Macaca mulatta: one gene and its partner. The protein of the gene in region 2 purifies or fractionates together with the protein of the main gene of each other region. This does not show direct contact. Links are inferred from orthologs where the notes say so. Each region holds a gene or a part of one and is shown on either strand. Other genes may lie near its edges.

What was found. The genes of interacting proteins can lie anywhere in the genome.
Region 1: the proteins of ZRANB1 (region 2) and CTTNBP2NL purify together in Homo sapiens (affinity purification with mass spectrometry; 4 studies listed by BioGRID and IntAct, with this or other methods). This does not show direct contact. The link is inferred for Macaca mulatta from reciprocal best matches to the Homo sapiens genes ZRANB1 and CTTNBP2NL.

What each region holds. Positions count from the first base shown.
Region 1 is NC_133406.1:127,871,601-127,875,346, forward strand, and holds the start of CTTNBP2NL (CTTNBP2 N-terminal-like protein), read right to left. Parts: upstream 2,846-3,746; 5' UTR 2,801-2,845; exon of another isoform or gene 2,488-2,800; intron 1-2,487. UniProt on the Homo sapiens protein: Regulates lamellipodial actin dynamics in a CTTN-dependent manner. Associates with core striatin-interacting phosphatase and kinase (STRIPAK) complex to form CTTNBP2NL-STRIPAK complexes.
Region 2 is NC_133414.1:136,976,885-136,980,630, reverse strand, and holds the start of ZRANB1 (ubiquitin thioesterase ZRANB1), read right to left. Parts: upstream 2,624-3,746; 5' UTR 2,217-2,623; intron 1-2,216. UniProt on the Homo sapiens protein: Ubiquitin thioesterase, which specifically hydrolyzes 'Lys-29'-linked and 'Lys-33'-linked diubiquitin. Also cleaves 'Lys-63'-linked chains, but with 40-fold less efficiency compared to 'Lys-29'-linked ones.

The sequences.
Region 1 (3,746 bases), on a different chromosome or scaffold from region 2:
GGAGCCTGGCCTCAGAAACTATTCTTGAGCAAAAATCAGTAAACAATCAGTCCCTAGTGAGCTCTTCTAAATTCACTTCATTCCTATCGGGTCAGATATTTAAAACAATAAAATCCTGAAATGATTAGCACTCATTATGTTCTTAAGTCTGGTGCAAATTTCATGACAGTAAAAATAGTATTTTCTAACCAGTAGATTTTATATATATATATATATATATATATATATATATATATATATATATATATTTTTTTTTTTTTTTTAACTGTTTTTTTTTTTTAAGAGACAGGGTCTCTTTCTGCTGCCCAGGCTGGAGAGTGCAGTGGCATGATCATAGCTCACTGTAACCTCAAACACCCGGGCTCAAGCAATCCTCCTGCCTCAGCCTCCCAAGTAGCTAGGATTACAGGGATGAGCCACCACATCCTGCCTCACAGATATTTCTTTATAAGAAATTCAAAATTTTAGTCACTTAAGACACTGGAATTTCATAAGACAGCAGATGGGGAAAATCAAGTTAAATGAAGACAACAAGTAGACGGTTTATACTAACAAGTTGTGCCACATCTAATCAGTGCATTGCCTTTCAGTCTACCCTAAGGTGACAGCTTCAAACTAAGTTAAACAAACACTCATTAAGTCATACTATATACCAGGAACTGTGAAAGAGACAAAGACGAAAAACAAAAAATACTACTATCTGCCCTCAAAGAATTTATAATTCAAGGAGAGAGATCAGACATATATCCCCTGCATAGTACGCTTTTCTTCATCTGGCATGACCAAACAGGTGTTGAAAAGGTTAAAGGAAAGATTTTCAAGACCCAAAAGTGTAACAAACAGATCTTGCTTACTGTGCTAAATAATAAAAGAACATTATTTGCTTTTTCCTATTAAAGCTCAGCAATCACCACAACTTTGGTTTGCTTAGTCTCTTACCTTAGTTTATTTTCTGTTCTCTGCTGATGTAATACAACTTATCTTTTTGGGATTTTCTGTTCTACTTTTAGCTTTTTCTGCTGTTATTGCAGGGAGCCCATGTTTTACCCTTCTATTGCAGCACACATTGTGTTTGCTAGAGACACCCTCCAGTTTCTTCTTTGTGCTTTCTTATTGGAGATTTGGAAACGCTCACTAAGAAGATCTGTGAGCACTCTGAAACCTTCAATTCTAACTATTCAAAAATAATTACCCTCAGGAAGTCTAATCAAGAAGGTAAAAGACAACAGTCATTACAATCACCCTCTGTGATTCCAACTCCTTGAACTTCATTGCCATCAGCTTTGGCTATAGTTGACAGCGGGGAGGTGGACTTGAGATTGAAAGCAAAAAAAAAACTATGCTAAAAATATGGTAAATTTTAATATATAAAAGTGCTAGCGATAGATGATTACTGGGGATTCAACGACATTAACTTGAGGTCAAAATCAACACTTTGCACCTGCTGAAATGAAGGCCACTTGACAAAACCTTTAGGAGCACACTAGAGGCACTTTTTGGTAAACATGAATAGCTAGAACACCTTGCCTTTATTTACTTTGATCTCTGAGATTAAAAAATTACTTTTCATCGTCTAAATTTTGATAGATGATCGTAAAACCAATCAAAATATACATGAATGTTTCCTGGGGGCGGGGGAGACACTATAAAAAAGGGGTTAGAGAGTAACCAAAGGACACAGGACTAGATTAATCATAAGCCTAGATGACTGACCCTGAATTTTCTTCAAACACTTCCTGCCTTTTGTTTCAAACTGCAGTATACCTTCAAGGTTAACTGCAGTCTCCCTGAGCAATGGACCAGCCCATCCTAGACTGGGATATACTCATTCCTAATCCACTGCTATTTATTTACTTATGTATACTGTTTCATTTGAAAACATGGTGTTATTCATTGACTGTCAAGCAACATACACTGCATTCCTGCCCACACAAAGCCAACTCTGCAGATATCCAACACACCCACCTCACTGTGAAATATAACATGGCTTTTCATCAAGTTCTCAGAGAAGAAATAGGGTGGAAAAGGAAAAATGAAACGCAATTCAAACCTAAGAAACCCTTAGAGGCTGGGTTCTCCCAGAAGGAACAGAAAGTAGAAGAAAGGTACAAAGGGCGAGGGAGAGGAGGTCCTAGTTCTCCCTCTTTCAGAGTCCAAAGAAGTCCCAAAACAGGAGAGCTCTCGACTCCTCACAAGAGGCCAGAGGATGTGAGGGGCGGCGGGAGGAAGACTGAGCATCAGAGAATGGGGGATGGGAAGAACTTAAGTGGGAGAAGCCGTTTCCTCGGTAAAGCTGGCTGTCTAGGTCGGTCTTTGATTTTTGCTTCGCCCCATCCCTCTTTTTTGGGAAACACTAATTTTATCTTACGGAGGAAAGCAGCTCCAGTCCCACCCTGGAGAGCAGAGACAGGTGTAGGGAGGGATGTCTGGCCTTCCGGGGGTGCAAAACGGGGTTGGGGGCGGCAGCCTAGAGAATCGGTACGGTACCTGTGAGTCCTCTCCTCCAAGGCTGAGGTGCGGGGTGGGAAGAGCCTTTGAATGAGGGGTATCAGAGGGAAGCCCCTTCTGAGGAGCTGGGAATCGACGAGGGACAAAAAGTAGCTGTGAGGACCCTCAAAGGATGAGGAGCCGCCTCCTCGGGGAATACCGGGAGGTGGAGGAGATGGCCCCGCCCCCTCAGGGGATGGGCCCAGAGGCCGTTAGGACAGCGGCGGGAAGCTACCGGTGCCCCTATACTTGCTTTGCTCTTGAGAACCCGGCCTCTCAGCCATCATCAAGCCCCAGGGAGTGTGGTTCCTACCTTTCCACGACGCACCGGGCTCCGCTCCCCTCCGCCTCTACTCCCCATCCACAGCGGCAGAGGCCCCGCCCCCTCAGCCGCCCGGCGGGGGCATTGGCATTCACCAGCGCCAATCGCCTCCTTGCTTCTCCAGCATTGTCCCCAATCCGCGCCGGCTGGAGGCGGAGCTTCTCCAATGTCATTCAGGCTCCTCCCGGGGCCCCAAGATCCCTTTTGTTTGGGAAGAGCAAGGCTGGGATTGAGCTCGCGTCACTTCCGGGAGGAAGCGCCGTCCTCGGTCCCGGGCTTCAGGATGGGCTCGTGCCCCTCCCGGCCCTTGGTCTGCAACTTTCCACCTCTGCGTGGTTTCTGGGCAGGACCGTGGCTAGTGCTTAGTGCTTTTCCCTGACTGTACGGGGAGTTTAGGAAAGGAGGGCTCTGGTGGCCTGATCGATTGGGATTTTTTCCAGAATGTTAATAAATGAAGTGGGCTTTGATGTCTGCATTAGAATGAATTAGTTGTTGAAAACCTGGCTTCCTTGCTCCCCCCTTTTTTTCTTTTTTCTGGACGCGACTGTGGGCGTGGTGCTGCAAGCAAGGGTGCAAAGATGAAACACCTGGAGATCACCCTTCTCTCAACCACAGTTTGTACAGAAGAGAATACTAATTTTGGGGGACATAAATCCAGCCGACCTGCTTTCCAGGCAGAAGTCGAATAATTGCAAATTTGTGTGGCAGGTTTTTCCACACTATGCTTGCCAGCTGAGGCGACTTTTTTCTGTCCTTGGCCTCATTATATTGCGGGGAATGGTGTTTGCCGTGAAGTTAAACAATGGAGAGTACAGAGGATGCAAGGAATGTCTGCCTTGTGAACACAGGAATGCAGATCTTGGTGGCAGCAAGTCTTAGGCAGGACCGAGTAACTCAGAAAGGGGAGTGGATGTATAACTAGTTGTATCCCTACCTG
Region 2 (3,746 bases):
ATTTCGGCTCACAGCAACCTCCGCCTCCGCGGTTCAAGGGATTCTCTTGCCTCAGCCTTCCGAGTAGCTGGGATTACAGGCACACGATACCATGCGCAGCTAATTTTTTTATATTTTTAGTAGAGACGGGGTTTCACCATGTTGCCCAGGCTAGTATCGAACTCCTGACCTCAGGCGATCCGCCCGCCTCAGCCTCCCAAAGTGCTGAGATTATAGGCAAGAGCCACCGGCCAGGTCAGTGGTCTACTTCTGTAATTCACATTTAAAGTTTACATTTATTATAAAGCACATGAACAAGCTCTCACTGTATCAATTACACATATGAAGCAATTTCCCTCAAATATTGTACAAATGGATCATGAGTTCCAAAACTATGTTAATCCTCAGACTTTAAATGTGACATGCCATAACCCCTATCAGCGTACAGACATGGATCAAGGCCACGAGCTTAAAATATATTACTATGAATGAGTTCATCATACCCAAGCACATTTCAAGAGTAAATAAATGGGTGTCCCAATGCTCTGAGGCATTAATAAAAGGCGCTAAAACAGCAACAGAAATAAAATCCTTCATGACATTCAAATAACATCCTCCTCAAAAGAGCAAAATGTGTCATTACTGTCCTACTATCTCGTAAACCCCCAACAGCCCAATAAAAACAATGTTATGAAATTTTAGTATAAAGAGCCTGCCTACCTTTAGAGCCAAAAGTCAAGAGGATTCTAAATTTTTTTAGAATTACTTCATTTAACTCAAAATAATAACAAGGAGACAAAATCCAGCTTTATTTCTCCCATAGTTCAGATGACTTTCCCAAGAGCCTTGGCACAAGGCGAGATCAAAATTCCTTATGGTTTCCCCTGGTTTATGTTTTGTACACTGAGTCATCCATGTTTGATCAAAACAGGGGTACTGCTGGATACTGCACAAGTGATGTTAACTAAAACACACAGGTAAAGAAATCACTCTTTACAGAATAGGTCCCAGTTAAAGATTTCTCTCAGGCCAAGCGCGGTGGCTCACGCCTAAATCCAGCACTTTGGGAGGCCGAGAGACGGGCGGATCACCTGAGGTCGGGAGTTCGAGACCAGCCTGACCAACATGGAGAAACCCCCATCTCTACTAACAATACAAAATTAGCCGGGCGTGGTGGCGCATTCCTGTAGTCCCAACTACTCAGAAGGCTGAGGCAGGAAAATCGCTTGAACCTAGGAGGTGGAGGTTGCAGTGAGCCGAGATAGCGCCACTGCACTCCAGCTTGGGCAACAAGCGCGAAACTCCGTCTCAAAAAAAAAAAAACTCGAATTGTGTTCCTAAAACGGTATTTTTGCATATTAGATTTATTAACATCATCATAAACACGGTGAAACCAAAATACTGGTAAAATGGGGCGGCGCTTAAATCGACAGTCTACGGAGTTATAGAAAAGGGTAATCAACTGACGGAAATACACAATTCTCAGCAAGAGAGTTTCAAAACACCAGTGTACCTCAAAGATAATGGGCCGGTTCAAACTTCCAGGCTTAACCTAAACTGCCTGTTCCCTGCGCTTAATGCCAGCATTCACTACAGTTCTTTTGTCTGTGAAATGACCCGCACCAAACCACAGCAGAGAAGAAACAGATCCTTGCACTGAACACTCGTTACTTAGAACAGAAGGGGTAGACGAATCTTTCCACTAGCTCCAGCTCCTCCTCCCCACCCGCCTCGTCGTCCCCCACCTTTATTTTCCTAGAAATGGCAACTGGAGGCCACCGCAGGAGGTGGAAAGCAAGTGGCCGAGGGACTGAAACACAAGTTTGGAGACCAGAACCAACTTGTGGCGATGGACCCAAGTGTTTACGGCCTATTGCGGAATGGGACCGAAACCCCACTAGCTAACCCGTCTCCGGCAGGAAAAGAAGTTGTGGGGAAATCTGGCGGAAGAGCGGCGGCGGGACCCGCACGGCGTCCAGCCGCGGCCGGCCGGCGGTCGGTAAACAAGCTGGGCGGACCCGCCCTCCCACAGCCCCTGGGCCGTCCCCGCACCCGGAGCGCCTAAGATGGAAGGGCCGACAGCGGCGGCCCGGGCCCCTGCCCTCCCCGCGCCTGCGACGCGGCCGCCCCCGGGGTGCCGGGCGGGCGGGCAGCCCGGGAGGCCCAGCAACCTGGGCGCCGCCTGGAAGCGAGGGACCCGGCAGGCCGCGGTGGGGCGCCCCCCAGGGCCCGGTTACCTGGCGGCGGCGGCTCCCCCTCCAGCTCCTGCTCCTCCTCCCCGTCCGACGGGCGCTTGGCGGCGGCGGCGGCGGCGGCGGCGGCGGCGACTCCCCGCGCAGCCCGCGGCGACGAGTCGAGCCCGTCCCCTCTCCGCCTCCCTCCGCGCCGCCGCCCGCCCCGCTGCTGCCGCCTCCGCCTTCTCCCCTCAGTCAGGACATGGTCTCCGCGGGTCCGCGCGCGGCTCCTGGCTGCCGGAGGCCGGGGTAGAGGGGCGGAGAGGAGGCGCGGAGGCTGGGGAGCCCCGGGGGGCGGGGGCAGTGAGGTGTGGGAGGCGGCCGCGGGGCTGCGGACCCCTAATGGCGGCAGCCGAGGGACCCGGAGCCAAATAAACCCCGCGGCGAGCGGCACAACGTCAAGGCCGGACCCAGACGCTCGCCGCCCTGTCATTGGCCCCGAGGCCGCCGGCGGCGCAGCCAATGAGCGGCCGCCTCATTCCGGGCTCAGGGGGCGGGTCGAAAGAGGGTGACGTCAGCCGGAGTGCGGCCTCGATTGTGAGTCGGTGGCGCGCGTTGGCCCCGCGCTGGTTCCCTTCCGCGGACCGCTGTGGGCCTGAGGGTGCCGGACCGCCGTGGGGTGCGTGGCGCTCGGGGGCGCGGGCTGACGGCGGCCCGGAGGGCGTCCTCGTCAGTGTCTGGAGGCGCGCTTTGCCTCGTCTCTGCGACACATGCGCCGGAGTTTTAAGTTAACCCCCAGGTCTCACGTAGCCTAAGCGATCTACGTATAACCCAAATGCTGCTTTACTTTTTCTTAAGGACTTTGAAGCTCTTCATAAAACACCAGGGAAGACAAAGCTCTAGGTGCTTTGTGATGGTTTGATTTTTTAAATTTATGTTTTGCAGTGTCCGATTTTTACCCCTGCCTTTGCTGGGGCTATCCGTGTATATGGATGTATGTGTATATTTCTCGTTGCTCTGTGCATGGTACATGTGTGCGTACGTAGATAGACACGCCATGAAAAGTAATGGAGACCTTGCGTCTTGCTCTCCTCCACGACTTACTGGCGCTAGTCTTGGGAAAATCCAACCTTCTTATGGATACCTTTTCTGTAAATTAGAAATAAACCTTTCCTAATAAGCCTTATTTCTGTAAATAAGCCTTACCTATCTTCAGGCCGAGGATAAATTACAGCTATGGAAAAAATACTGCTTAGGAGAATCCCCTGGGACCAAGTTCTAAACAGATATGTGTATTTCTTTCTTTTTGTACTGTAAAAATAACCAAATAGCCAAAATAAGCCAGCCATTTGTTAAAACCCCATGAGTATGGGAAATTTTTCTAGCAAGAGATCTTTGTTTTTTCCCAGTGGGACTTTACCTTGTAGTTTTCATACTTAAAATTTTGTGAGGAGAAGATAGAATTTGAAAGATCAGCCGGGCGCGGTGGCTCAAGCCTGTAATCCCAGCACTTTGGGAGGCCGAGACGGGCGGATCGCGAGGTCAGGAGATCGAGACCATCCTGGCTAACACCGTGAAACCCCGTCTCTACTA